4 linked regions of the Alligator mississippiensis genome follow. The protein of the gene in region 4 purifies or fractionates together with the protein of the main gene of each other region. This does not show direct contact. Links are inferred from orthologs where the notes say so. Each region holds a gene or a part of one and is shown on either strand. Other genes may lie near its edges. The genes, in order: MAFK, XPO1, HMMR and BACH1.

What was found.
Region 1: the proteins of BACH1 (region 4) and MAFK purify together in Homo sapiens (affinity purification with mass spectrometry; 6 studies listed by BioGRID and IntAct, counting the BioPlex papers as one, with this or other methods). This does not show direct contact. The link is inferred for Alligator mississippiensis from reciprocal best matches to the Homo sapiens genes BACH1 and MAFK.
Region 2: the proteins of BACH1 (region 4) and XPO1 purify together in Homo sapiens (affinity purification with western blotting; 3 studies listed by BioGRID, with this or other methods). This does not show direct contact. The link is inferred for Alligator mississippiensis from reciprocal best matches to the Homo sapiens genes BACH1 and XPO1.
Region 3: the proteins of BACH1 (region 4) and HMMR purify together in Homo sapiens (affinity purification with mass spectrometry; 6 studies listed by BioGRID and IntAct, counting the BioPlex papers as one, with this or other methods). This does not show direct contact. The link is inferred for Alligator mississippiensis from reciprocal best matches to the Homo sapiens genes BACH1 and HMMR.

What each region holds. Positions count from the first base shown.
Region 1 is NC_081836.1:50,335,736-50,343,713, forward strand, and holds the start of MAFK (transcription factor MafK), read left to right. Parts: upstream 1-4,971; 5' UTR 4,972-7,978. UniProt on the Homo sapiens protein: Since they lack a putative transactivation domain, the small Mafs behave as transcriptional repressors when they dimerize among themselves.
Region 2 is NC_081824.1:212,302,475-212,310,441, reverse strand, and holds the start of XPO1 (exportin-1), read left to right. Parts: upstream 1-4,960; 5' UTR 4,961-5,099; intron 5,100-5,449; 5' UTR 5,450-5,467; intron 5,468-7,967. UniProt on the Homo sapiens protein: Mediates the nuclear export of cellular proteins (cargos) bearing a leucine-rich nuclear export signal (NES) and of RNAs.
Region 3 is NC_081832.1:56,347,403-56,354,661, reverse strand, and holds the start of HMMR (hyaluronan mediated motility receptor), read left to right. Parts: upstream 1-4,242; 5' UTR 4,243-4,378; coding exon 4,379-4,424; intron 4,425-5,577; coding exon 5,578-5,655; intron 5,656-6,227; coding exon 6,228-6,313; intron 6,314-7,259. Other genes in the region: NUDCD2 (nudC domain-containing protein 2), read right to left, coding at 1,030-1,078, 3,932-4,120. UniProt on the Homo sapiens protein: Receptor for hyaluronic acid (HA). Involved in cell motility. When hyaluronan binds to HMMR, the phosphorylation of a number of proteins, including PTK2/FAK1 occurs.
Region 4 is NC_081824.1:289,797,664-289,804,932, forward strand, and holds the start of BACH1 (transcription regulator protein BACH1), read left to right. Parts: upstream 1-4,260; 5' UTR 4,261-4,394; exon of another isoform or gene 4,395-4,439; intron 4,440-7,269. UniProt on the Homo sapiens protein: Transcriptional regulator that acts as a repressor or activator, depending on the context. Binds to NF-E2 DNA binding sites. Plays important roles in coordinating transcription activation and repression by MAFK.

The sequences.
Region 1 (7,978 bases), on a different chromosome or scaffold from region 4:
CTGACGCGGATCCCTGCGGTGGCATTAAAAATACCCCCCTGCCCAGGCATGCTGAGCTCTGGTATTCAGCCCAAATCACCGAGCCTTTCCTCTCTGCACCGCTATTTTGCTGCCCCCGGGGCCTGATCCTTTGGGTCCTAAGCAGCTTACATACACGTGTCTCCTCTTGACATTGTGGTTGCGGGAAGACAGGGAGGTCTCCCAGCTTGCAGCACTTCTGCCTGCTATACCGTAAAACTCCTGAGAGAAGCCCCTTCGGAGTCTCTACCGCTTCTGCCTAGTAGCAGCTCATCAATCCTACCGTATTGCATGCGGCTTGAAGTTCAAGTTATTTCTACCCAAACCTTTTCTGTTTATAGCCAGAGTTTTAATAAACTCCATAATCAACAATATGGTATCGATGGTTACCGGGTCCTCTTCATTGTCCAAACACAGTGGGAATTTGTAAAGAGGATTTTAAAGCTCATTACAAACCTGGATAAGTCTTATGATCCCTGCTTCCCAGATGATACTGGGTCAGGGGCTTGTTCAAGGCCCCCTAGGCCAGCGGTTCTCAACCTTTTGCATCTTACATCCCACCAACCATTTTGTCAAATGGTCCCACCCTATGTTACATTCACTGGGGAACAGAGAAAGGAGAGCTTTTTTCTGCTTATTAATGAAAGCCAACAGGAGGTAGTTCACCAGAAAAATGTAACAGCCCTTTCCACGTGCACTAAACAGAAGCCAGAAAGAAGTAGCTATTGTGAATGGGTCACCACCACTAGCTGTGTAATTTCACACTGAAAAAACCCTGTTGCTTACAAGTGCAGACTGGCCACAACATGGAAAAGCCTCTCCCAGCCACCTGAGCAGGCTGCCGGCTAAAGTGGGCTTCTCCAGAGAAGCAGAGCAACTTTACCAAGCTCAGGGACCCAGCCCTGCCCCTTTAACTGAGCCCTTTATTAATGTGATCAGGCATGGCTCTCACCCAACACCAGACAACGGTTTTCTAACCCAGCTGTGACTACACCAGAACCATACTGCAGGCTGCCTTCCCCTATCCTGTGACAACCTGGTATTAAAAATCCCCCATGCCAAGGTACTCTGGGATCTGATATTCACTCTGGATGTGGGAGCTCTGTCTCTCTGCTCCATGCTAACTTCAAGCAGCCACAAGGAATAAACCCAGCATTACTGGCCCCATACTGTGAGTGGGCACAAAGAAGCTACAAGCTGCCCTTGAACTCTGAGCCCTAGGTGTGTGCGTCCACATCAGGTACACCCACGCCTGGGACTGCAGTCCACAGCGGGAAAGTCCACCGCAGGGTTTTAACAGGGTGCATAACCTTGGGACACATGAAGACCAATGGCATTGGCACCTGGGCCTTAGAGCTTTGGAAACTTTAGCCAGCCTGGTTCTCTCCGTTCCAAATGGACACGACTTCTGCTTGGGAGCAGTGCTGTACCTAGACGCCTGGTGGTCCTGGCCAAACTTTTAGTATTGCCTGAGCCAACCCTAGGGTGGTGCAGGACACAAGGCAAATCAGCCTGTGCGGGGCCCCCTTAACACTGCATGGGGTCATGGTACCCCTGCAAGGGGTGGCTCTCCGTGCTTCTTCCACGGCACAGGGCTGAGCCGCCAGCTCCAGGCAGGCCCCATGGGAGGGGCTGCAGGCACTCCGCCCGGCTCCGCAGGGCCCCTGCAAAGTGCAGGGCCTGGGACGGTCGCCCCGATCCACTGTACCCTAGGGACGGCTCTGAGTATTGGGCCCCCTTCGCCAAAGATAATGATTTTTTTTGTTGTTGCAAAAGTCTTTATCACATTTGTGGTACTGATGTATTTAAATAGTTCATTCTCAACTGACAACATTGCCAGTCCCATATATGCACAATATTAAAACTTTTTTTTTGCAATTGTGATTTTTTTCCCCATTTTTGGGCTCCCTCTTTGTCTGGACCCTGGGCAGCCACCCGGTTCGCTCATGCCTGCGTCCAGCTCTGCTTGGAAAAAGGGAAAAAGGAGCAGGAAATGAAAGCCAATAAATAGCCAGTTCTGACTCCTTGATCTGCTGCCTCAGCAAATGTTAGAGTAGCCTGGAGGGTGCTCTAAATTATGCTATTTCTATGTCTTTACAGGAACCATCCTACCAGTTGAGGGTACTTGGAGCACTTAAGGGTCCAGCCACATTTCCTCCCTGCTGTTCTCACCCTCCCCTGTGCCTTGGGCTGTTCAAAGGAACATGAAGGAGCCAGATATGCTGGCTTGACACCTCCCCTTGTTACTGGGAAAATCCCAGCAGGATTTTCTGCTCCCTTCACTACCCGAGCTGTGCAAAAGGGGGTGGCGCGAGACAGAGATTCTGGCTCAACATATTGATGATGTTTGACATCTTTGACATGACATCTTTGGCCCTCAAGCTGAGCACCACTGGCCTAGATTGGCAGGTAGTTTTTCAGTTCAAATATAGTCACAAGCCTAATCACAGAGAGACTAAAAGCCTGGTGTCGATATACAAAACTCTGCATCTTTTTTCATTAAAAGTCTAGGCTAGTTCACCCTGGTCTAAAATTGGGAAGACGTAGTGCTCTCGGGGGTCTAAAATGTTGCTCGCACGGTCGACGCGACGCTCAGCGACGAGGAAGCGCCGCCACAACTCGGGATTTCGTTGGCCAGTCGCAATATCCAACGAACGGTTAAATCCCCGGCTCCTGAAAGCAGACACCGGGAAACTTTTGCTTTTAAGGACAGATGTTTCCTTCCTTCACCAAGGATTTGAAAACACCAACCATCCGCCAAAAACCCCAAAGCCTTTAGGTTAGGAAGGAGGTGATTTTCGTGACTGGGGTCACAACTTCTGCACGCGGGAGGTGGGCGACAAGACGAAGACGGGACCAGCAAGTCCCAGCGCCAATTCTGCGGCTTTCCTCGCCTGCCCTAGCCTGGAGGTTGCTTCTTTCTTCCCAGGAACCTTCCCAGGGACCTCGCTTGCCCTCGCCCAGATGTGGCAACTGGACACGTGCCTTTTTCTGCGGCCTTGCGGGTTGCGCAAAAGCCCCCGGGGGCGGCTCCAGGAGGAAGTGCTTGCAAAGCAAAAGAAACTGAAACCGAAACAGGCAGGGAGGAACAGGCCGGGGGAAGGGAGGTGAGGTGGGGGTTCCTCCCCGCCACGAGCCAGGGAATAGTGTAGCAGAGGCTCCGACGACCCTCCGCCGGGAGCCCCGCGCGCTTCGCCAATGAGCACGGCGCCCGACCGCGCGCGCGCTCCGCCAATCACGAGAGCCCTCACGCTTTCTCCCTACCTTCCACATGAATGAACCGCGTGGGCGTGGCCTCGTGACGCGGCGGCGCCGGCAGGGGCGTGGCCGCGCGACGCGAGCCGTGACGCGTGGTTCCCGGAAGCGGGGCGGGCGCTGGTTGGCCGGGCGGGCGGGCGCGGGGGGCGGGGCCGGTGCGGGGCGGGGGGGGAGGGGGCCGCGCTTGTTGTTGTTCCCGGGACTGGCTCGCAGGGAGGGCGGCTGCGGAGCCCGGCCCCGCCGCGCGGGTGAGGGGGGCGCGGGGCGCGGAGCGGGGCGGGGGTCGGGCCCGGCCGGGCCGAGCCGAGCCGCTGAGTCAGCGCGGGGCGCACGTGGCCTGGGCCCGCTGGATGCGGGGTCGGCCCCGCCGCGTGACTCAGCACGGGGCGCCCGGCCCCACCCGGGGCTCTGCTCCCACGTGGCCGCGGGGCCCGGGCTGGAGGGGGAGCACGGAGCCGGGCTGGGGGCTCAGTACCAGGGAGAAGCCCCCTCCGGAGGAGGGTCCCCAGGGCTTGGCCCCCGTGGCCTGAAGAAGCCCTCGCCTGTTGCACAAAAGTTGGGCGGTTTGGGAAGGGGCGGGATGCTGCCTGGCCGGGGTCCGCCTGGGTCTCGAGAGGCCGGCGAGACCCCGGCTGTGCTTGGGTGGACCTTGGGGGCGCTGGAAACGAGCCAGCGGGTCCCCGGTTGTGCCCTGCGCGCCGTGCTCGGAGACGCGCCCGGGTCGCCCTGCGTCGGGCGGATAGTAGCAGAGGGCGCGTTGCTGCGGGAGAGCGATGGAGCAAGTGACTTCTTGGTGGCAGGGATGGGAGCGACGGCCCGGCAGACCGAGGAGGGGCCGTGCTGGAGGGGTCCCTGGCTGGCCGGTGGGGACGCAGGCCAGCCGGGGACGAGGTGGCTTGCTGGAGGGGACACCTGCCAAGTAGACCGGTGGGGTTTCGAGACCGCGCCCTCCGCAGAGGGCGGGTGGGGCTTCCTGAGAACCGCTTTTCTCCCCCTGAGCGGGTGGTGGGGTGGGATGTTAGCTCCGTGGGGGTGGAGAAGCCTGGCTTCTGCTCCCTTCCCCCCCGACAAAGGAGTGGCACTAGTGAGAGAAATGTCCAGGCCGCGAGGGAGGGGAAGTGAGACATGTCTGAACTCTAGAAACATGCCATGGTCAGTTGGAGAGAGAGCTCCTTCCTCCTCCTCCTCCTCCTCCTCCTCCTGTGGCCAAGGGGTGCTGGGACTCTGCTTCCCTGGGCTGTGCGGGGTGGAGGAGAGGGGACTCGTTCTCCAGCTCCTGGAGGAAAGCAGGCCGGGACAGCTCCACTTAGGAGCAAGCGCCCTTTGGGGAAAGTGGCAGTGCAGGAAATGGAAAAGCTGCCATTCCTTCTCTGCCCTCCTGCCCCCTTCCTAGCTCAGCTCTGGGGGCCGGGGAGAAGGCAAAGAGGTGAGAAGCCAAAATGCCCCTGTGCCACCAGATCCAAAGCTGCACGTCTTATTATTGGAGGTTCGGTCCCTGGGCGCTTGGCATGTGCAGGCAGGGGCACCCCTGCTCCCACGCCAGCCCAGCCAACATGCTGTGCCGCGGTCCTGCAGTGGCTTAGTATGGAGGGAATTTACCTTGCTGCTTGCTCACTGATGGAGCCGGTGCTTGCTCCCTGCTCTCTGTCTCTTCCGTGTATACACTGTAATGCAGAGTAACCTTCCTCCCGCAGTCACTTCCTAAACATGATGGATGCTCCGGTTATCCAATGGCCGTGCCTAGCATTGGCAGCACCGAGGGGAGGGAGGATTAACCCTGTTTGTACCTATCCTGGTGACAATATGGAGGATGTTTTTTTCAGGGAGGAGATGGTTACAGCAGGGAGAGGGCTTGTGGGTTTTGGTTAGCAAGATGCTCCACATACTTTAGACTTTGGGGCTTTATTCCTGCACTTCGGGCTAGCTGTGTTAAATGATCTTGGGGTAATTCATATGCAACCTCAAGAAGTATTTTTAAGTAAGGCTACAAGAGGTCCTTCATATTGGGGAAGTTTCACCTATGTTCTTTCCCCAACCTGTTGCAGCGGTAGTGGTTTAAACCTGTGTCTGGCTTGAAATAACTAACAGAGTTTAATGGTGAATGAAATAAAGCCTAAGCAGCCGAGTGTTTATAATGGCTTTCTGAAGCCCCCTGGTTTTGCACTGAAACTTTGTAACAGTCGGATGTTTGGGAGGGGAAGCAGGGACAGCTGGAGCTCTTGGCCCCCCAGGCGGTATGGCAGGCAGTCAGGGCGGGTGGGATAAGTGCGCTTGCAGCTCGTTTGAGTAAATATGCAGCTGCGAAACTCTCCAGCAGTGCTGACGCTTGCAATTATCAGGGAATTTCAGGCTCAGCCCCCCATCAAGAGGCGCAGGCGGTTTATGCTCCTTTCTGGGCTGTTGTTTCAGGCTATCTGCAAACTCGGGCAGATATTGCTGCATCGCTTTTTGCTGCTTCTCTCTTGTTTGGAAGGCTGTCTCACTGTGGGCCTGGGATGCCAAAAAAACTTTTTTTTAAGTAAATGAAAGCAATTATCCTGCTGCTCAGCTCTAAAACTGGGCGCATCCTGCAGCACGCTTCGCTGTCTCGCAGTCTGGGTGCCTGAATAACCATCCTCATGTCTGTCATCATTCACATTCACATGGAGGTGGAGGTTGGACTTAGTCCACGGGGCTCAGGAGAATTCACAAGCCCTCATCTCAGTTCTGCCTCTTGGCCCCATAGAAATCGCTGACCACGTACTACCTTGATTTCCCCAGGTCACAAAAGTACTTTTTCTGTGCTATGGTGATGTGGGACTTAACTCATTTTTGCAGTGTATTTTCGTTTGATCACTTCCATAAAACGCACTGTGGGGAGGAGCGCTGCCCTGTGTCTGCTGTGTCTGAAGCTGTGAGCAGTGTATCCGACCTCTTCAGTAGCTGCCGTTCCCCCTCCCTCTTCCCCCCCTGTAAGTCCAAGGTCTCTGTAATGTGACACACAGGCACACTCTCATGATAGCCTGAATCGGCCGCTCTGTAACCATAGGCTCTCTGCAGCATCTGACTAGGTTGTTTACCAAAGCATTGAAGACTGTCTGATCCCTGTCCAGGCTTCCCCCGAGAGAGCCTCCGAGTCGTGTCCCGGCAGCTCTCAAATTCTGTCTGAAGGTTCCTGAATCTGTTCTTTGCTGGTGGATGCTGGTTCTGATCCATAAGGGAAATGGAAAGCTGGCCAGCTGGGCGAGTTTAGTGTGTAGAAAGTAAACAGTGACTCACCCCTCCCTGGTCTCTTCTCTGGGCTCATGGAGAATTGACTGCTTTGCATGTGTTTGCTGTCTCCTTGATTCACATCATCAGCATCCCCCCGCACCCTCCCTTCATCCAGATGAACGACAAGTGTCAGTTTGTCTTGCAGAATGCATGAGGACTGCTGAAGCAGGGGGAGGACCCGGGGATGATGGGAGGGATGGTGCTGTCTGCATTTCACACTGCAGCGTGTTGGAAATCCATGTCAGGTCTCCAAGGGGCAGAGGCACAGAGCTTGGGGCTTAAGCATCTGCAGTTCCCTTCACCTATAAGACCTGATGTCCTCCTTGGTGGCCACATTCACGCGGCCAGCTTTGGAGAAATGGTCGGCTGATGTGACCATCTCGCGGGTGTCTCCTCTGGTGTGTGGCGGTGCGATTGTAAGATCTGGGTAAGTGTGTGCTGCTTTCGGGGTTGAAATGCTCTGTGTGGACCAGGAGGAGGGTGGGAGGTTCAGGCTTCTGGCAGCAGCGGGAACCAGGACTTGCTGCCTAACCTCCAATAATCTGACCGCTCATTGATGGCTGCTTGGAGCTTGAATGTGGAGGGTCACCAGTCTTTTGAAACTTTTTGCCTTTATGTCCCTTAAGAAAGGGAAAGAGGGCCAAGTAGCTTGTGGGTAAACTGGAAGTGTGGATAGGTTGCTGACCAGCTGCCTTACAAATCGTCTCACTGTGTTTTGGACTGGCTGGAGGCAGTACTGCTGATTTAAGCCTCTGGGCAGAATGGAGATTCTTGATGTGATGAGTTGTACAAGACGGAGAGACCTCTACCATGCAACCATCCTGGCATGGCAGTGCTCCTAGGGAGGAGAAAAGCGGTCATTGGCCCTTTTGGGCTGAGGATTGTGCATCTTCACATTGCTGTCCTTGCCGTCTCGCGTGTGTCTGAATGGAAGCTAAACGCTGATGGGGCTTTCTGCTGGATAATTTTGTCCTGGCCACTGTTCCATTTTGGGATAAATGGGTTTTAATGTTCAAGGCTGTGTACAAATTACTCACAAGTGCATCCATGCCTGCTGTGAGGTAGCAGCTATGACTGTCACTAATGCATTGCTTTGTAAAGTGCTTTGGGAGCCCCAGCATGTGAGGAGTGCTATTTAAAAACTGATGTAGTCTACTGTGCTCTTCTTCCTTGCAAGTCATCTCACATCGCAGTGCACTCCTGCCTCTATCCACTAGTTAGGGCTGTCTATCTCCCCTGTCTTGAGCTGCCTCTAAGAAAATTAGTAGGGGTTATCAGTGGTGCCAAACCAAAACCACGCAGCTTGGAATTCTGTCCCGGATTCTCCTGACAATGTTGACAGTGATAAGGGGAGGTGAACAAAGGTATTGGGAAGAGTGCCAGGGGATCATTTTCGTCTAAAAACATGACATCACTACAACAAAAGCACTTCTTAATACTAAAGATGCCA
Region 2 (7,967 bases), about 77 Mb from region 4:
TATAAACTTCCAAATTATGATACCTTACCCTTTAACTGGCCAAAAATACCCAAAGCTGAAGATTTTTTGCCTATCAACCCATGCTACAGAAAAGCTGCTCATTTAAATTAGAGATGAACCATACAGATCTTTTAAGAGAAGTGGAGAAAGAAATATATTTTTCCATTTTTAAGGTGCTTCATTTTTTCAACTGGCACTTAAAACAGTCTCAGCTAAAAAATCCAGTTCTTTCAAGTAGCCTGTCCTTGGGAACAAGTATCTTTCTCTGGAGGCATCATGCATAAAATCAGTTATTTACAACTCTAATAGTTCCATCACAGTCCTTTTTAGTGTTCAAGACTGAAATATCATAATCACTTTGTGTTCTAGAGCTAGTAGTTCTACTCGGATTAAGTGTTTAGCACAATGAAATGAGTACACAGACTTTAGTCTTTGGCAGAACCAGCCTGAAGAAAAACTAATTATATATTTCTATTCATGGATTCAGCAGAATTGGCTTTACAGACTCTGGGGGCATGCAGACAGTTTCCTTAGATCTATTCAAGCCTGCCAGTTTAAGTTCTTTAGTAGAACTAACCTGGCTGAAGTTCTCAGGCGCAGCTTTGATGAAAAGCTGGTGAAGTTCCAGTGCACAAAGATATATATATATATATATACTACTTTTAACAGCTGTCATCTATAATGCAGTTAAATTTGCATAATTTATAGAAACAAATTGTTCCAGCTGATAAGGTTACTAGCATTCTTCGTTAAATTTAAAAGCACATACCTAAAGTAATTCTAGAGGAAATAGACTTTGTTAGAGAAGAGGTAAGACTGAAAATATACGTCCACTTAAGGGAGAGAAGTGAAAAAAGCCTTTAAGATTTGCTGAAAAATACAAAGTTAAGAAATAACTTAAAAGCTGCAAAGTATAGAAATAAGGAATGTTTAGGAAGTCCAAATAATCTCAACAGTTCTTTTTAATGTCAGTCTATTTATTTAGTGTTACCATTCAGAATTAGTTCAGATAAATGCTTCAAAATAACATTTTCTGGAAAGCACATCACCCTGTATGGGTGCCTTTGTCACTGTCCACTATCAATTCGTGCAGATTACTCCTGTATCCAACCAACTCACAGCTCAACTACATATCTAAATAAGCCATGGGCTGGGGATATGAGGGGCACTGGCAGACAGGAGGGAAGGGAGAAGTTATTTTACAACTATAGACATCTTAAAGTCTTCAGACAAACTGGGGGAAAAAAAAAACAGGTGCACCAATATATCAGTGCCATATCAGATCGGCACTGATAAAAGGAAAATTAACATCATCGGCTATCTGCTTTTTTGGCTGGTGTAGCCAATGTATCAATAAATATAATGTGTCTTCTGGCTGGGGTCCTGGATGCTGTGCGTGCATGCAGCTGCAGCATGCATGTGGCCAGGAATGCAGCCAGGCAGCGTGGAGACCAGCACCCTGCAGTTAAGTCTCTAGAGGGGAAGGGACATGGGGAGGGGCAGATTGAGGCCCCAACAGTGAAGGAGTGGGGCAGGGGCAAGAGGCACTGCCCAGCTAGAGCAGTTAATAGGACCAAAGGCTCGGGCAGGGAGCAGGATGGAGTTGTGGGTGGCATGTCTAGGGGGCATGGAGTGGGGGAGAAGGGGGTGGCTCCTTTGGGGGAGGAATGGGGGCATGTGCCCTGTGGCAGAGCACCTTGGAGCGTAGTCTTTTGGATGACATCTGTGAGGTATGGGACACTGTATAGAGGAGACTTAAGCCACCCTAGGCATTGGGACACTAAATGGGCTGCCTCCCACGTTTTAATATATAGTTTAATACTTCAAGTCATGACAGGTGAGATGGGGCAGACTGTCCTAGACAGGTGGGCAGGCAGACATCGGGACTGGCCTCATGATGGCCCCGTTACATGCCCCCCTGAATTTGTGTGCGGGGTGAGGGCAGATGGAGGCTGCCCACTGAGGTCTCAGGGCTCCCACCCTCCTGACCTTGCCCTGCGACCTACAGCTCTGTCCTGCAGCTCGCCCAAGCCCCAGGGTCCCATTCACTGCTCTGGCTGGGCAGGACCCCCAATCCCAGACCCTCCCCCTCCCTCACCGTGGGGCCTCGGTCTGCCCCTTCCCCTCCACAGACTTACTTGCAGGACGCTGCTCTCCATTTTGCTCAGCTGCTTTCCTGTAAATCAATTATCAGATTGGTATTGGCCAATATGCCTGGTGAATAATTATGCCTGGTGAATAATTGGCTATCGGTATTTGCCAAAAAACCTTTACTGGTGCACCACTAGAAAAAAAACCAACACATGGTTGCCATGATGTTTATATATCACAGCCTACTTACCTTAGCTTAAGTAACAGGCCTCCTGGATGCCTCTCTCAGGGAAATGGAGAAAACCACAAAGACAATGAACTAGATATGATGCAAATACACACAGGGACAATCAGATATGGAAAATAGCTCTTGGTGGAGGAGCATGGGGTCACTTTAACCACAGTTCTATGTTTTACAGTTTATTTGTAGATAGTAAATATTGGAAAGTCGGGAATGGAGGGCTTACCTTTTTCTTTTTAAAAAACAAAAGCCTTTCAGTTTCTTTTCCTCTTAAATTATATCAAACCATAGAAACCTGCTTGACAGACCTGATACAAGTAGCCTAAATTAAGCTTCTCTGCAGAAACACTACAGCCAGTTACACATGATAGACTAGTATATGCAGTGATGTCAGGTGCTGCACCAGACTCTTCCCAAAACACCTGTTAACTTGTTCTACCATTTAGTAATGTCACACTTGTATGATCTCTACATTTTTCACTTTGTAAAAACAACAGAACTAGCTGGTTCTCGCAGAAACATTTTTGTTAATGTTCTTCAGTATCTTGTTACAATTTTTCTTCCCTGGACTATGTTGTTTTGATGACTGACTGTAAGATGATGATTAGTTTATTCATTATCCAATATATAGCCAGATGTAGAATATGCATATTTTATATACAGTCTTTCATGGAAATAATGCTTATTTCCAGACGGGGTGAGGAATCTTGGTAAGTTCTAAAGGATCTAGTGAGTGTGCGATATACTCCAACTACCAGTGAAGTGCCTGGAACAATGTAGTTAAATAAAAAATTATCATCTCTAACTAAGCATTGGCTGAATTCTCCTCATTTTATAAAAGTTACTAGGAATAGAGTGACAGCCATACCATGTAAGAGGAAAAAGCTTATTAGACGTAATCTTTCCAAGACAACTAATCACTTGATTTGGGGATGGTATTTTAAGACACCTTAAAACAGTGAGGACCAACTTTTTGGGCAGGTGTGCCACGTAAACCTGGAAAGCCACTCTGATCTTTCCTCTACCTGATCTGCTGTTCAGTTTTCTGCTCTCTGACCAAACTTCTACTCTACTTTTTGCCTGTACTCCCCACTGGATCTATTACTCTGCCTTCTGCTCCCTGCCCTACCTGCCACCATGCTGCCTGTCCTTTCCCTATATGCTACACATAGAAGTGGCCTATGCCACTTGTAGCATGCATGCTACAGGTTGGCCAGCCCTGCTTTAGGAAACCCTGGTTTTCTGAAGAAAACCCTGGTTTTCTGAAGGTAATCCTGAAGAGTCAGACTTCTGGGGTGGGGAGTGTCTCCAATTTGCCATCTCAAAATCCCTGGTCAGTTTTGAAAAACATACAAAAGTGCATAAATGAAGATGCACAAGTTTTCTTCTTCCAGTGTCACTACACCATGTTCCCAAGTGTCATCTGCAAGAAATGCTGCGAAACACAGAAATAATCCCTCTTTACATCTGCCTTTGGTAACAGTACTTCGCTTTAGAGATTATGCGGGTTCTTCAAAGAATGACCAAGACAGTGAAACCCCAGGTACAAATGCCAGGGAATGTGGAAGCCCAACTCGTGCCATGACAGTTCAAAACCCAAATCAAAGAGGTCCAAGAAGGCACCAAGCGAGGGTTCAAACCTTGTGCTCAGGAGAGTTTATCATTCCTCTCTCTCATGAGAAAATCACCCACTGACTCCTCGATTTGCATCTTAACTGACGGCCTTTCTTGCATGCACACCAGCCTCTGGCTTACTATCCATTCCCTCCAGAAAGAGCGTACACCAGCTGCAGGGGCTTCCTCATTCTGACGAAGGGTATTTATACCCGAAAGCTTGCAAAGAAGTTTTCCAACTATTTGCGTTGGCCTAATACAAGATATCACATTTATCCAAAGAACCTTGTCTGGAAACGTTGAGCTTATTTCTTAGGACAGAAACGGGTTTGCAAGTCAACCTCTTGCACGGACCTTCTCCTAGCATGGGTTGCAGCTGCAGGGACTGAGGCTACTGCAGGGACGAGCCCAGGGATCTACCCCGCTTCCTACAGAGCAACGGGCTCCTACAGCCCTCTCTCCACCCCGAGACAGGCAGGCAGCGGCGAACAGACCGCGCTACCCTGCCCCGCTGCGCAACGCCAAGGGGCCCCACCCCTCCCCCCAAGGCAAAGCCAAGCACCGCCCCTCCCTCCACGCGCCTTTGTGATCACGCACCCCCACTCCACTCGTACAAGCCCGCCATTAAAAAAAAAAAAGAAAAAATAAAAAGAAAAAAAGCGCCGCTCTCTACCTCTACGTCATTCCAAGCGCCCAGCCAATCAGCAACAGGCCCCCTTCCCCCGCGCCCGCGGGGTTGCGAGCTGGGGGCGGGCTCGCGCTCTTTGAGCGACAGCTCAGCGCGGCCAGTGAGAAAGCAGCACCACTCCCCTCCTCCCCACCTCCTTGCGCGCTCAAATGACTGCTGGGGAGGGGGCGGGTCCTCTCCTCCCCCCTCCCTCCCCTCTCAGCCTCGCAAGAGATGGGCAGGCCAGCCGGCCAATGAGAGGCACAGCCGCTTGCGCGGCGGCCCCGGCGGGAGCCAATGGGAGTGGCGGCTGGGCGGAGGCCCGAGGTTTCCAAACGCTCCGCGGCGCCATGGGCTGAAAACTAAACCGAGATGGAATCTCCCAGTCTGAACCGGTTTGAGCCGGTTCCGAGCCTGTGGCACTAGGAGGGGGAGACGCGCCGCGCTCAGTCCCTACCGCCGCCGCCTCCGCCACCGCGTGTGCCTGTGTGTGTGGGGGGGACCTGCCGCCGCTCCGGGAGGCCGAGCGCAGCTGCGGAGCCGCCGCCGCTCCGGGGGGAGGGACATGGGGGCGCAGTGAGCGCGCGCGGCCCCGCACCCCCAGGCCCGGCCTGGCCTGGCCCGGCGCGCAGGCGGCGGGGGGAGCCCCGCGCACGCAGCCCGGCCCGGAGGCGGCAGCAGGGGCACAGTCGAGCCCTCCCGGCGGCGGGCGGGGACCCACGTCCACCCGCCCGCCCGCGGGGCAGCAGCGGCCTAGGCGCGGGGCGGCTCCCGCGACTTTTTTTTTTCCCTCCCCTTTTTTTTTCCCCCTTCATTTTTTTTTTTTATTTTCAAAGGCTGCCAGCTCCACTCGGGTGAGTGCCGCGGGGGGGAGGAGGCGCGTGTGCGGCAGGGGCGGCCGCGGGCTTCGCGGAGGGGTTGAGGGAGGCTGGCGGGAAGCGGTGGGGTGCGGGGGGAGGGGGCGGCGGGTCGGGATCTGCAAATTATTAGGAGTGGAAGTTTCCAGAAATATTTTCGTGTGTCTGTGCAGCAGGATTGAAACGTCCCCCCGCGTCACGTGGGGGCCTGTGTGGAGCGCGCGGCTCGGGCGGAGGGAGGGGCTGCAGTGGTGGCCCTGCCGCCGCCGTCGCGCCGGGCCTTGCCGTCCGTGCCCGCGCCCGCGCAGGGGGGGGGGGGCTTGCATCAAAATAATAACGATAATCATGATGTGTTTAAGGAGGGATGTGGTGTCCGCGCTGCAGTGGCGGGGGGAGGGTGCCTGGGAGCTCCCGCTGCAAGCGGAAGGCTCTTGCTTTGGAGGGCGCTGGAGCCACGCGGCGGGCGCGCACGCGGCTTTTTGCCTGGAAAGTTGCTTTCTGGTGGCCTGTGTGCTTGAATCCCTGCCCCCCCCAGCACGTGTGCACATGCAGGCGGTTGGAGAGTTTTATTAGGGATTTTGTGTGCGCGGGATGGAAAGGAGCTGATTATTCGCACCCCTGGTGGGTGGGTGGGTGGTTTCACATGTGACTTGTCCTTGCAGGTTGGGCCACTTCCTAGCCTAAAATGGGGCGTGGTGGGGATTTTCTGCTAGCCCTGTGCTTAAATGAAATTACTGTTTCCCCCCAAGCCTTAAGCAGTTGTCGCCTTTTGTAGAGTTGAATTTGACCTAGAGGTTATCCTTCCTTCCCCCTGCTCTTTGGAAGTGCACCCTATTCCAGCAGCCCAGGTCTTTTAGAAGCAGGGTGCAGATCTGTTATGTAGCCACAGACTTTGCTTTCAGCACAAGTGTTTTTGTACTTCTGCAAGGCTGCTCAGGCTTGGCTCCACTGCATGAACGGTTGGCTCATTCTTTTGGGCTTCTATAAACATCTGGTTCTTTCCATGTGGCCTACTTTCATTTTTCATTGACTTGTTTAGTTGTCTTTCCTTTACTTGTTTTGCTGTCAGTATCCAGGTTTATTAGGAGTGTTTTGAGTTAATCTAGTGCAGCACTTGGAGGTAATGCTTAAACTCTGCTTTGGTTCATGTGGGGAGGTGGTGTGTAGTAAATCAAACGTTACAGTTCTGAGGTAATCATTTCGGCTAGGAGTAAGTAAGGAATCAAGTTGATCAGAGGGAGGCTGGCATTGACCACAAAGCCGCCATTTCGGTACTTCACATCAAGACTAGGTAGGTCATTTGAAGATAATGCTGGGAGTGGCAAAGAGCTCTAATCCGAACATTTCCTTTCTGCTTCCGTGGGGCTAACTTTCCTTAGTCACGTGGAAGATGAAGTGTGTTTTTACCACTTGTTTTAAAGTGGTTGAAGGAGATTTAAACTTAAAATAAATGTGGTTACTAGTGGAATATGTTGATTTAAATGTTGGCTGAATTGAAAAACGGCTACCCTGTTCCCTGGTTAGAGAGCGCAGATGCAAACTGAAAGGGGTGTGTCTGACTGAGTGCATTTGGGTGAAGAGGGGGGTTATTTGTTCTTAAAGATTGAATCGATTGGGCGGTTTTTTTGGTTTGGTGTTTTGTTTTTTGGTTTTTTTTTTACTAAATACTACTTACTGCTTTGTCTGAGGTACAGTTGAGAGGGAGTCTTCCAGAGCTAAAAGGAACTAAGCGTGTCAGTGTGCTTGTGTACTATTCAGCCTATTTTACACTCCTGTATCTGTCCTTTGTATAATCCTAAAGGAGGTGTGGAATCCAGAGAAAAACATGACAACTATGTAGGATTTTTTGAAGTCTATAAGCCACTTTTTTTAGATTTGGTGTATATCTTTCTGGATAAACTTGTCCTATACATGCTGGCATTTACACTAAAAATGCTAACGATGCAAAAATGTAACTAAAAATTGAACGATGATATTCATGTGTTGCCACCATGCTGAATTAATGAATTTCATGATTTTAAAGCAAAGTTCATATATTTCTCATTGGTATTTAAGTAGTAGTATTCTGTTTTATCTATAAATAGAAAACCTGTTTAGCATTATTTAGTTATATAAATTGGAATGAGGGGCTTTCTGAATGAGCCTTTTTCTGCAAGATCTTTTTTCATATTGTGCAGCAGTTGCTTAAACTGTATCCCAGGTGTATGGCTGTGTTCAGCTTTGAGTTTAAAACTTAAATGTGGAAAGCCTAAATCTGTTTCTTAGTCATTCAGAAACCAGTAACTTTTACACATAGTAGACCCTGTTGTAGGTTGCAGGATCCTTTCTAGGAGTGAGTTGGGTCCAGAGGCAGAGGAAATGGTCATAGAAGTGGACAAGTTTTAGTGCTAAACTAGTTGGATCTAGTTTTGACCACAGGGTACTAGGTAGAATTAGTTTGACTGCAAGGTGATAAACATAACTATATGTGCTTGTCATGTTTGCATTAATGTGGCAT
Region 3 (7,259 bases), on a different chromosome or scaffold from region 4:
CCACTAGAACCAAGTCCTACAAGCATATCCTAACTCTTTAAAGAGGGAATTTATATCTTGTAACTTCCCATCTCCATCACAAGCAACAGCAGTTAAAGAACTACTGTGGTTGAGGATAAAGCATTACACTGTGGTAAAGGATGAGTGAGAAACCAACAAGAAAAACAGTAATTATATGCCCCATGTTTCTTGAAGAAACTTTTCCCAGACTAATTATTATGCCAGTACAGTAAAAGCTGCCTTAACCGGCACCTTACAAGCCGGCATGCTGGCTTGTAACGTAAAAGCGAAACCGGAAGTGCCCACCATGGCACTTCTGGTTTTGCCAAGCCCCCATGGCCTGGGGCATAGTAGCTTGCATGGGGGCCGCCCTCACTGTCCCTCGGGGCCTGTGGGAAGGTCAGCAATGCGGCGGGAGGGTCTGTGATGTGGCGGGAAGGGCGGCGGCCCAAACAGGCAAAGACACCTGTTTGGGCCTCTCAGTTAACTGGAATATTTTGTTATCCGGCACCCCCCATTCCCCATGGTGCCGGATAACAAAGCTTTTGCTGTATATAAATAAACCGTGCTGGTTATTTTTTAAATTAACAGTTATTCCACTAGAGAATTCGAACCCAATTTTTCCAGGGATTTCTCTTTCAGCCTCAATCTATACATTTAGGTGTACAACTCATGCTTCATACAAGTACAAGATTAAGTTATTTTATCTAAGTCAATTACAAGCTCTCTCCTCCACAGCATGTGACTCCTGATCTTCCTATCAACAGACTAGTTAATTCCCATTAGTTTGGCATAATGTGTATTAAGCACTTTTGCACAGGGAGAGTCAGACTAACTGTATTTTACATTTCATCATTTTTTGTTAAATTACATGCCAATCTTATGTCACAGCTGAAAAATACACTATTGAAGAAAGCAGAACAAAAAATAAAAGTATGTGCCTGTTTTTCAAAGCCAGATTTTTAAAATACAGTGAGATGCAAACAAAAAATGTCTCTTTTCAATATTTCATTTTAAGCATATTCGTACCTAATGTCCATGTCCCTTCATCAGCTATTGTAGAGTCAAAGAGTTTACCCTGAAAAAGAATTATAACGTTACATAAAACTGATACAATTTTTAATGCTAATGAAAAATACCAAGAAAAAAGCAAGTCTGCTTTCAGAGGAAAACAGTCATTGATTTATGCTGTATCAAAATTTGAGTGTTGCTACAGTTTGAGTGTTGCTATTAGTAATTGCTAAAATAGTTAATAGCAACTAAAAATCAGGACACAATGCCTGCCTTCCATATCTACAAGAGCAAGATTACAACTCAGAGTACAGACTCAAAGATATTTTTCAATTTATACACTTCATCCTCATACACAACAACTTCACTTTCAATAACCAACACTTCCTCCAGACCGTAGCACAGCTATGGGTACCAAAATGTCCCCACAGTATGCCAACCTTTTCATGAACTACCTAGAAGAAGAATTCCTCAAGGACTGCACCATCAAACCCTTGCTATACTTAAGATATATTGATGACATCTTTATCATTTGGACTGAAAACTTGCAATTGATTTTTTCATCAGAAATTCAATAATCATCTCCCCTCCATCAGGCTCTCTCTGGAATACTCCAATACCAGCATTTCCTTTTGAGACATGATGGTCACTATCCAAAATGGAAAAATACAGACCACCATATACAAGAAACCCACGGACTGCACTGAACCATTAATCACCCTAAACATACCAAGAAAGCTGTAATATACAGCCAAGCTCTCCGATACCACCAAATTTGCACTGAGAACACCTGTGATCCTCACCTCACACATCTCAAAAGGCTTTCACATAACAAAGACACTCCTCCAGAGAGATAGACTGTACTTTTGAAAGAGCCATCCGGATACCACATGAAGAACTGCTGCAGTACTCCCCATAAATCACACACCACTGGTTATGACATATCATTCCTCCCTGGAACCTATATGGAAAATTCTCAAACAATTGCAACCCATACTAGAAGGAGACCCTATTCTTAAAGTGATCTTCCCAGAACCACCCGTTCTATCATTTAAACAAGCACCAAACCTTGCCAACCTCATCACCAGAAGCAAACTTCCTATGACCCAAAACATGGTGAACGGATCCACACCATGCCATGACAAGAAATGTAAAACCTGCCAACGCATCTCCACCACCCCCACAACTACTACATGTCACAATAGAACCATCAACATTCCAGGATCTTAGACCCGTACCTCCGGAAATGTTATATATCTCATCCAGTGCACTAAATGCCCTGATGGAAAATATGTAGGAGAAACCAAACAACAACTGTGCACCAAAACGAATGCACACCGAAAATCTGTCAAAAAAAAGAATATCAATTACCTGTGGGTGCCCACTTCTCACAAGAAAACTATTCTCTCTCCAATCTCAGTTCTAATTCTCAAAGGGAATTTACAAAACACCTTTCACAGATGAGCCTACAAACTTCACTTCATCAACTTACTGGATACAAAAAAAATCATGGATTAAATACAGACATTGGATTTGACACATTATAACCTGCCTAACATTCAACTCTCCAGGTAAACCCTCTACTTTTTACCAGCTATTCTCATTCCCTTCCCACCTCCCCATCCTTTGACTACAGCTACATTCATTCCCCTCCCCCCCACCTGTCTCTTACCCACTGACCAACCCAATTTACATTTTAATTGACTGGCTTTCTTGCATACCTACTGGCCTCTGGCTGCTTTACCACTCTATCCAGGAAGAACACAGACCATCTGCAGACGCTTCCTCTGCCTGATGAAGGATAACTGTACCCGAAAGCTTGCAAAGAAGAATTTTTCCAACTATCTGAGTTGGTCTAATAAAAGACATCAGATTTACCCAAAGTACCTTGCCTGCCTAATATTTTACAATGCTTTTTTTATAACAATACCCTTCTTATAGTTAAGCGCTTAAAGAGAGGGACTTTGCCTACATATCCTACTTGAAACATTTAGCAGGCTAGCACAGTACAGACACTTCAGAAGGAGAAGCAAATGATACAGTGTTAACACTTAGTTCATAAAGCCCTATACCGGCTGTGCTCTACTGGGCGCCTACAACAGTGGGTCAGCGCACGGGCCTCATCTGGAGTGAGTAATGCTTCACGGGCCCTTCAGCGCTTGCAGGGTTGTTGCCAACTGAACAGAAGGGAGGCAGCTACACCCAGGTCACATACTTCTTCCCAGTAAGGTTTCTCTATCTTTGTTTTTCATAAGTCCGGTGGGGAGGGGTTCAACCCTGTTTCTGGCACAAGTCAGCCCAGGCTGTTTCCCTCCACTCCAAGCAGCGCTTACTGAGGCCGGGGCCAGAGCGCTGCGGCCTCCGGAGCTTCGTGAAGGCTGCTCGCTCCCAAGGCACCCCCTGCCCGAGTACAGTGCCACAGTATGGGCCCGTGTGGCCAGGAGGGGGTTCCCCCTCTCCCCACACAGATCCTACAGCTGCTGTCTGGGAAGCTGTGTGGCGTGGTGCGACGGAGCCTGTGGAGCTCTTCGGGAGCCTACACCGACCCCGTACGGTTGTCAACTCTGTTTGAATTCATTCCGAGAGGTTTCTGAACATCAACGCGCCCGTGACAATGCGAACGTGCCCATGTGCTTGTGTATATCAGCTACTGATTACAGTGCACAGACTTCACACCAGTAAGGCAAGCGCATGTTACTATTACATTTCAAAAACCCACTGGGATACTGTATAAAATCAGATTCAACATTGAATATTTATCTGAATGAATGCCCTATCATTGATCTCCAGGGTGACTCTCAGCAGCCTCCTGAAGATTTGTATCTCGTTCCCGGAGACGCGAGGGCAAACCTGGAGAGTTGGCAACCCTACCGCCGGGGCGTCTCCCACGGGGCCTCCCTCCGTCGCGGGCCCGCGGTACCTGGAGCACGTCCTGGCCCTGCACGGAGAGCGCCAGGCGCTGGCTCTGCAGGCAGCACCGCACGTCCTTGGCCCGCGTGCCCGGTGGCACCTGCACCTCGATGAACACCTCCTCCAGCGTCTGGTACCAGCAGCCCCAGGGCGTGGCGCAGGGCACCACCCCGCTGCGCTCCTCGAAGGGAGCCGACATCCAACCCCGCGCGGCCGCCCCCTGACACCGGAAGTGGCCAGACGCGCAGGCGCACAACGGCGCTAAGCCCCAACTTCCGGGTGGTTTCCTGTGCGTGCTCCAGCCGGCGGCAGGAAGGAGCGGCGATTGGCCGAGCGGCTCACAGGTCGAGCGCTGTGATTGGGCGCCGGGGTTTGCTGGGAGAGCGGTTAGGCACTTTGAATCCGGCGCCGGGGTCGGCGGTGGCTCAGGTGCGCCGCGCTCTGCTGCGGGGCTGTCATGTCCTTCCCCAAGGCGCCGCTGCGGCGCTTCAACGACACCGCGGGTGAGTCCCGCCTGCCGGCGCTTGCCTTGCCCGCGGGGTGAGCGCGGCCGCCTGCAAAACTGGGGGAGCCGGGCGGGGTTTGCTTTCCTCCGGTTCTTTTTTCCTTTTATTTCACTGTACCCGTCTCCCCCTTCCTGGCAGGGGGCGCGGCGCTGCCCGGGTTGATTTCAGATCCGTCCGCTCCTCCGTGCCGGGGGACGGTGGCGTTGTAACGTGCTCCCCAGTCGTCGGGGCCGGACCCGCTCCGCCTCCTTCAGCTCCTCCTCGTGACCCCCAAGCACTGCCCGGCGCAGCCTCGCTGCTGCCGCCCCACAACACGGCACCCCTAGAGTTTAACGTGTAGTTGTAGGGGCAGGTTGGATGGGGATGATCGGGCTAGTTGGACTAGCTCGATGGTTCTCAACCTATCCAGTGCTATTTGTAAACCTCAGTGGCCAGCCCTGACCCGCTGTCCCAAACCCCCAGTGTGGGGGAGTGTATGTGGGGGCGTGGGCAGCAGCCTCTTGAAGGCTGCAACAGTGCCAGCCTGTAAGGGAAAAGCTGCAGCTTCCCACGTTTCTCTCCTTAAAAATGGATTCTCCTTTAAAAGTTTCTTCGCAACCTTTTCATATGTTCTTCCGACCTGCTTTTGGGCCACGACCCACGGGCTGAGAAACACTGGACTAGATGATCTCTGGAGGTCTCTTCCAGCCCCGCTTCTCTGTGATGCTGTGACTTGCCTGTGTTCTTTTATTTGTGCCTTGCTCTCGCAAGAGAGGAAAATTTTTCAACAGGATGAACTTGACACGGGCGGGGGGGACACATGACATTTTAATTAGAGCAGCTTCAAGAGCCACTCTAAAGCACCCACAGCATCTGATGTATTCAGTATCCTGCACTTCAAAATAGCACCAGTGGCTCTAACTAAAGCTCATTCGGGCCATTTTGATGCACGGAGATGGTGGATACGCAAGACGTGGAGGCTGCTGGAGTAATTCCAGCACAGTAAAAGCAGCATCTCCGCACATCTACAGGCACCCGAAGGGGCACTGAATACATTTGTTCATTGTGGCAACCCATCCACAAACTTAATTCTCTCCCTGTCAGGTTATTCCAGTGTTCTCTGCTGTGCCAAACATCACTGTCATTTTTTTAACTTGCATCCCATTGCTAGGGTCCCATGAAGTCGATTCCTCAGATGCTGTAAAAGGCCCTATGATCTCTGACAAATCCCACTTCAGAAAACAGAAAGGTAAGCAGTGCCATGGCTTGACACTTGGCAAGCTTTGGAAGTTTTGGAGATCTTGCAAAACAGAAATTGTAGGTGCTCAAATGCTGCTGCTTTCCTTTTTTTAGTGTTTTGAGATTTTTCAGTGTTTTGCTTTTTACTCCATGATGATTGCTGATTATTAGAGGGCTGCTGACAATTTGAAAGTATGCTTCTTTGTATCTCTTTCCCTGGTGGCTTTTCATGCATCTGCTTCACTGATTTCTTCCCACCCTGCCTCCACCACCCCTTAGTGTAATGTGTTTGCAGTAATTGTTTTTCTTTTGAAGTTATCACCTCATTGCAGTGTAGCAGTGTGTGAGTATGGACAGGGAAAAATAAAACAACACTTTTAGAATGGACTACCTGTTGGAAGGACCGATCTGATTCTTGTAGTGCCCAGACGTATAAGGCTGGTGTATGCACTTGCTGAATGTAGACTAGTAAAAATAAGTAGACTTGGGATTTGAGGTGGATGAACTCAAAAAATATGTCCTTTCCCCTCCCCCCCCCCAATGGTTTGCTTCTAATCTAATTTGATAAAACTTTCTGTTCAGGGACAATGGAAAATCAACAGAATTTGAACAGTGAAAATATGCCTTCTCCCACACATAGAAGAAAGTTCCTTTCTCTTGGAACAGTGGTAAGATTCTATTTGCTATGCCAAAGGTTCCCAAACTTTCTTATTGTGTACCCCCTTCCAGATTTGCCAACTGCCTGCATACCCCTACCAGCATATGTTTTAATCCCTTAAATGTTAATTATTATTTTAATGAAAATTAAATCTATTACGCAATTTTTCCCATGTACCCCCCAGAGATGTCTTGCATATCACCAGGGGTATGTGTACCACAGTTTGGGAACCCCTGTTCTATGCCACTATTTGCACTGTTGCCTGAGTAAGTGGGTGACTGGAGCTGGAGAGCTGCATGCTTCTTCTTGGGAAGGAGCAGGCAATGAACAGCAGTTCAGGTGCTGCTTCTCTTTAGTGTGTGGGGTGTCTCAGAATACCTAGCCTCTGTGCCCCTAGAAGCATAGGTCTAGGAATAGAATCATAGACAATTTAGTTTGGAGGGGACCTCCAACCCCCTTGCTCAAAGCAGGACCATCTCCAACTAGATCATCCCAGCCAAAGATATGTCTAGCCAGGTTTTAAAAACCTCCAAGGATGGAGTGTCTGCAACCTCTCCGGGTAACCTGTTCCAGTGTTTTATTACCTTCCTAGTGAGAGGTTGTTTTTTTTTCCCAAAGATCTAATCTAACTGTCCCTTGCTGCTCCTTGTTCTGTCATCTGCCACTACTGAGAATAGTCTAGCTCCATCTTTTTTGGAACCAACTTTCAGGTTGTTGAAGGCTGCTATGAAATCCCACCCCAGTCTTTCTCTTCTCCAGTTCCCTCAGCCTCTAAATAAGCCCAGTTCCCTCAGCCTCTCTTCATAAGTCATGTGCCTCAGCCCCTAACCATTTTTATTATCCTCTGCTGAACTCTTTCTAATTTGTCTACATCCTTTCTGTAGTGGGGGGACCCAAAACTGGACACAGGTCTCCAGATGTGGCCTCGGCAGTGCCAAATACAGGAAGAGAACCAC
Region 4 (7,269 bases):
ATCTGTAGGCTACCAGCACTGCTAAAATAATCCATTGTGAACATAAAACAGGGGCCTTTTCCTGGTGAGCATGGCCCAAGAGTTATGTCAATTTTTAGTCCACAGTATGAATCCTTTTTACTTGGAATTGCTTCTTCCCGTCAATAAGTCTGGAGACGGGAATGAATAAAACTTTTAGCAGACTTAAAATAAATGTCCCCTGGATTGTAGTTCTTCCATAGTGGTGTTTTCTTCTCAAATGTCATATGTGACAATTGAAAAGGATAACTATTCAGTCAGTCCTGCAACGCAACTTGTTCAATTTTAACAGCTCCCATAAAGTGGCTTGCTTCATATCTGGGCTTGACAGCGAACAGTTATCAACATCAGTGGGAGAATGAAAACTACTGGTCATAACAGATAGGAGGGTATACTGTATGAACTAAGATTCAGAATAACAAAATGTTGCTCTAAATGTATCAACTTTTGACTAAAAGAAAGAGATAATATTCTGCTGTCATGAGATTAATATAAGGAAATAGCTATCCTTAAGTCTACTTATCCAAAATGACCCATGTTATTTTGTAGTGAAACTTGGATAATGCCTCTGAAATCCATCAGCCAACTAAAACAACTAGTATTATAATGTGTATTAAAACACTCTCTGTCACCCTTCCTTGTCAAAATTAAAGGTCCAGAAGTTTGGTAAACATAATCTTCCCATGCATTTAGTAAAATATCATTCATGACATCTGATTCTGGTTAGATTTAAGTGCATTTTAAATATGCTTATGTAAAAATATCATTATCTTTGGTAACTATAGCCACTGATAAAAATCTACCTAATTAAAATGGAGGAGTTTTATAATACTACCATCTATGAATAAAGCATTTTAACAGATGGAGTTCCTTAACAGATGGAGGAAATTGCAGCTCAGTGAAAATATTTAGCAAGGTCACAAAGACTTCTCTAGAAAAACACCAAGGACAAAGGTGTTGGCAGAGGTATCCCATCGGTGGTAATGCTAGGATGGGACTCAAGAACTCCTGGTTCTACAACCTGTGGCTGACCCATATGACAATCTTTTCTTTTTGGTGGCTTTAAAAAAAATCATCATTCCTGATGAAAATGAAGTCTTAATAGAAAAAATAAAAAGCAAACTATAAGAAATAAAGACAGTAATTATATAGATAAAATTCCACAGCTATCAAATTAAAGGACTGAATTTGCTTTCATTTAAGTCAATAAATACCTCTGAATCCTGATTCCCCCATCCAGTCACATACTTGAAACTGTCCTTATCCTTATTCTGCAGCACATTTTTGAATGAGAGAAATATATCCCCCAATTCTTGGAGTAGGACATGAGCAGCTTATATCTGTATGCTCCTTTATACCATAGGCTCTTTGAGGAGAAAATTGTTGTGCAACCCAATCTCACTTTTGCAAAGCTAACCTAAGCAAACAAGTTTCATCTACTTCAGTCTATGCCGTAATATTCTTAGTTACAATAAGTGACTCTTATTCAGCAATACGAACTCATTTTACAGAACACAAAACATTTAAGCTCTTTTAAGAATACTAGTTGTGTTATAATAGCAAAATGAAAGGAGCAGTATTTGGGAACATGGATAAAATTGATGTGCCTGGTATGATAACAATAGAGAAAAACATACTCCACCTGAGACACTGTCCCCCTTTCACTTGTAAATCAGTAGCTTTGAAGGAAGCCTTGGGTTGTACAATAATCAAACCTGTTTTTGAAGCTTTTTCCATCCATGTGTACAACAGAAAAATCAGGGGTGAAACTTCCCAGACAAAGTAGAGATCACGTAGTGAACTATGCAGAAATGCCAAACCAAACATGCCCTGTGGTTGCAACTGTGCCTTATCTGTGCTTCCTTGTGCCACTCTGGGCAGAACTGGTGGGGCCTAAATAAAGACATGGGGGAAAGTTATGAGGTGACCTTACAAAAATAGACAGCCTAAATCTTCCTCAAATAACAAGAAATAATGTCTGAATAATTATCTTCTCTGTTAAAGAATGCTAAGATTACAACCAAATAGTTTAAGGCAAGAGACTAGATAAGCATTAGGAAAATCCAGGTGAATTCATCAGATTTCAGTGAAGCTGATATGATAACTGATAAGTAGACATGAATTGAGGCCCTTTGTCATTTGCAATTGAAAAAAAAATGGGTAGCTTGGTGTATAAATGATACCCACCGCACTGCATGCAGGTAGAATGAACCAATTACTAATCCCACTATGGCAGAGGATCCCCTTAAAACTTAGCCTTAGGAGTCCTGACTGGAAAGTAAAAGGCCTGTGACTTTTAGGAGTAGAAATTCAGCTAACACTGTATCTTCATAAAAAAATCTTTAGAACATTTCCTTATAAAAATCATAATTATACAAATAGTGAACAATGTTCCTTCAAACGTCAGTACTTTTTTTCTTCTTCAATAATGCTTAGTTTCAAGTCTCTACTTTAAGCTGTTTCTTTCAGTTATTCCAGGTACAATCATTTTACCCTGAAAATAGAGGGGACTCCCCCCACCTCTTCACCCACAGCTAACGTTAACTCAACACGATGGACACATCTTCCTCAAATAACTCAGAGTAGGCCTGAGACCAGGAACAGACATTCTCGTGTGTGAAAGCAGTATGAGAAAGTTACAAGCAACAGAAAAAAAAGGAAGGCTGGACAGAAAGAAGCAAGAATTCGGCTATAATTCTGCATTCACAGGCCATGATGGGAATCCTGTAATTCAAAATAAGGCATAACTAGTACATTATGTTTCATAATTAGTACATTATGTACATTAGTACATCTCCCTAATGATGGAGATGTACTATTATGTTTCTTTGCACTGTTACTCTTCTTAACAACCACCACTTTTCACTTGGGTTCAGGAACCAAGATGCTACGTCATGCACTGCATTTGTAGGGTTGGTGCAGGCAGGTTGTAGTCAAAAAACTAAAGATTCTCAGCAGCTGTATAAACTGTTTTTATTCTTTAAAAAAAAAATGTTAGAGCAGATGGATGACCTTTTAGGGCTGCTGTTCATTCCACTTGTTAACTCAAGATACCTCAGTAAGTAAATAACACCCCCCCTAACTCTAGGACTCTAATACAGCCACTCAAGTGGCAGTGGGTAGGGCTGCATCCACAGCAGTATTCCTGCTTCTTCAAGCCAGCATAGCCAGGTATTAAATATTAAATTATAATATTGGAAGCTCAAAATTATCATATTTTCTGAAAAACGATTGTACATTGAACAAGTATGAAAATAAGCATGCAAATAAGTTTTATTTACTTTGTATTGCTCCGTGTAACTCGCAAGTGAGTGAGTGAGAACTGGGTCATCAAAGTTGAAGCTTTTCTTTATTTTGAGGTAAGCAGTCATAAGAAAATGCTGATAGCACATCTGAAAATGGCACTGCATAGGGGAGGGTGCACCCTGTCCAGTGAACAGGACACCCAATGAGGCTTGTAATTAGCTTCCCATGGGAGGATCTCGGCTACACACCAACTTTATGGAAATGAACAACTCCTCCCTAGCTTGCTCCTGTGGCCTTTGGTTAAGGGCAAGTGCTATGCGGGGGCATCCGAACCCCAAGCCTCCAGGCCTTTGCCTGCATGTGGGATGCCCACCAATGGATTTGGGAATATCTGATGCTTGCTGGTTGTACGGTGTATGATGCTTGAACGATTTGAGTGTTGCTCAGTCAAGAGGATTCGGAACCGATTCTGCTTATTTGACCTGAAATACAAAACAGTTCCCCCCCAAAAAAGTATCCAAAAATCAGCTAAAGCTTCACTGAGAGTGAGGTGGGTTTTGCATATGCTGCATCAATTAGCTGCCTCCAAATTATCGTCAGCTTTGAACACTGATCAAACATCATACCTGGGTTGAAATGATTGGGCAGATATGATCATTATCATAACTCTGGCAACACGGCCTCGGCGTCCCATGGCAAAGACGTTTTATGCCAGCCCCAGCGGAGAGCGGCTGCGAGCAGGCGAAGGGTAGCAGGGCAGCTACCCAGCACGAACACTACAAGTCAGGCTATGTATGCTAGGAGCTCCTCCAGTGAGACTAGGCCCCGCCCCTCTCAGGCTGGTGGGAGGGGGGCGGAGAGCGGGGTCCGTCCCCCGCCCCCCGGTGTTGGTCGGAATGCGCATGCGCGGCGGCGGCGGGCTTTAGGCCTCAGAATGTCACTCAAGATAGCAACGCCCAATCAGCGGGCGGCGGGGGCGGGGTAAATGGTGGCTGCGCTGTTTGGGGGCGGGCTGGTTGGTCCTGTTGCGGGGAGTCATCTGACCGCTCTCTCCGCAGTCGGGCCACAGCCTGGACTGTGCGGACGATCAGTTTGGGGCTGTTGCTGGAAGAGGAGGAGCAGCAACTCAGGTTTGTGGTGGCTCGCGGGGAACAGCGGCGGCTGCCGGCAACGAGGTGAGCGCGGCCGGGCCCTAGCGACGCGCACTGCCCGGTGGGAGAGGCGCGCACCGCCTCGCCTTCAGTATTCGGGGGCTCGTGGGTGGACGCCGCCTGGCCAGTACCATTCGGGGTCCCGCAGGGGGGATGGTGTCACGTGATGCCCCCCCAGCTCTGAAGCTTTAGCCTGACCCAGGTCCCCGCCTGGGGGCGCCTGTGTGGGAGACACACATAAAGGCGCTGCCCGTAGGGGGGGGTGTTTCTAGGCTGCAGGAGCCACGAGGGGGTGGAGGTGCGCTTTGGGGTCAGGGTGTGAAGCGGCTTCACCTTGGCATGGGCATTGGAGCATCTGGGTGCAGCTGGGAATTTGCTAGGGGCAGGGGGAGGGAGTGGGGCTGCTTACCCACAGGCTTGCCCCTTGGCTTTGTTTTGGACCCAGGCATTGAAGGAGTCTTTGGGAAACAATCCTAGAAAATGAGTGCTGGAAGGGACCCCAGGAGGTCCCCTAGTGCAGCAGCTCTTATCTTGTGGTCACCACCCAAAAGTGGGTGGCAAGAATATGTGAAAGGATCATGAATAAACTTTAAAAATAGATTCTCCTGTAATGGAGAAAAACATGGGAAACTGTGGCTTTTCCCTTGCAGGCTGGCTGCTTGGAGCCCCTGATGCCCCACACATCCCTCCACATGCTGGGGGGTTGGGGCTTGGGTTGAGGGGCAAGAGGTCAGGAGTGAGCGGTACCAGCAGGATCCGGGGCTGTTTTCTACTTAAAGTTGGGACTGACCATTGATGACTACAAATGGGTCCTGATATAAAATAGGTTGAGAACTGCTGACCTAGTGCAACCCCCTGCTCACAGCAGGACCTTCCCCAACTAGATCACCCCAGCCCAGGCTTTGTTGAGCTAGGCCTTCAAAACCTCTAAGGATGGAGAGTGTACCACCTCTCTGTTCCAGTGCTTTACTACTCTCCTCCAGAGGAAGTTTTTCCTAAGATCTAGTTTCAACTTCCCCTGCTGCAACTTGATTCTGAAATCCAGTTGAGGGTTGGGGATGCAGAAGGCGTTGGGGTGTGTGGAGTCCTGGGAGAAGCGGGTTGGTCCATTTTTTTTTTTTTTTTTTTTTTTTAAACTAGTGGAAGAAAGTTCTCCACACAATGCATCGTTCAAGTGTAAACTCCTCGCCTCCTTCATTTGAGCTTCATTTGAGCTTGGGGCTCCTCACCATCAGGAGCTGACGCTGTAGCCAGATTCAAAATGGGATTGCAGCATGGGATGTTGTGGTTAGATAGGAGGAAAAACTTTCTCCCCAGGAGGGTAGGAAAACACTGGAATAGGTTATGAGAGAGGTGGTAGACTCTCCCTCCTTGGAGGCTTTTAAGACCTGGCTAGACAAAGACTGGATTGAGATAAAAGATTTAGGGACGGTCCTGCACTGAACAGGGGTTTGAACTCCCGAGGTCCCTTCCAGCCCTCATTTTTCTACAATTCTGTAAAATTCTTGGTTGAAAGGGGCCTCAGTGGCGATTGAGTATGGAAGTGAGGAGCACAGCCTCTGAACCAAAACTTTTTCTAGACCCTGAATGCTGGAGGCTGCAAGTGAGAGAGGAACAGTTGGAGGAAAAGCCCTGGTCATAATCTGTTCTCTCTCCCTTCCAGCCTCTGCTCTCTGCCCATGTGACATGGCCTTTTGATATGCCATAATGTGACACGGGCCAAAGCCCACCAACTAGAGCTATATTGCAGTAGGGATTTGACCCCCACCCCCTTTGGTGATGGGGGCCACTATGGGCATATCGTTGATTATTTGGGATAACTGAAAGCCAAAACAGGGATGGGAATGAGGGTCATAAGTTCAAAATGAGTGAACTGAGGGGGGACACCAAGGAGACCACCCTGGATGTATGACACAGGCCTACTTGTTGCCTTAAAGGAATTGTGGGCCAGTGCCCACTACGAGAAACTAAAAGCCTCCCTTATAAAGGGAGGCCACTTTGAAAGCAGCAACTCATTCCGTGGGAACAACTGAAAACATAACAAGGACAGGAGCAGGTTCAAACTGAGTGCACAAGGGAGGGCACTGAGGAGAGCACGCCAGATGTGAGAGACAGGCCTTTTGACATGCCACTGGGGAATCATGGACCTTGGGCCACCAAATGAAACTATAAGCCCCCCTGCCACTAGGAGCATGTCGCTGATTTCTTGGGACAAATGATAACAAAACAGGGATGGGGCTGGAGGTCAAAGGTTCAAGACTAGTGCACTGAGGGGGGACACGGGGCAGAGCACACTGGATGTGCGACAGGCCTATTTTTTGCCTAAAGAATGCAGGCCAGTGACCACCAGGAAACATTATAAGCCTCCCTTAAAAAGGAGGGCCACTAGGTAGACAGGAGTGAGGTCCAAAGTTTCAAATGAGTGCAACAAGGTGGGATACGGAGCAGAGCACGCTGAATGTGTGACACAGGCCTATCTGCCACTTCAGGGGTTTGTGGGAGGAATGCCTACCACGTGAAACTAAGGCCCCCTCAGAGAGGGAGGCAACAGGGAAAGTGGCAGCTGATTGCTTGGGATAAATTATAACAAAACAGGGATGGGAGTGGAGGTCAAAGGTTTAAAATGAATGTGCCAGGGGGGTATAGTGGGATTTATTTGTGACGGGATCCTTAGCAGGATGGACTTATGGTCTGATCCAGTGAATGTCAATTCTTAAGTTCTTAAGTGCAGTGGTGTGCAGGAACTGCAGTTATGATAGATGGTACTTGTCCAAGAGTGAAGTAATACTATACTATTTATTCTTTAACTTTAAAATCATATTTCAGATTTTTGTCCCCCCACCAAAAATTGACC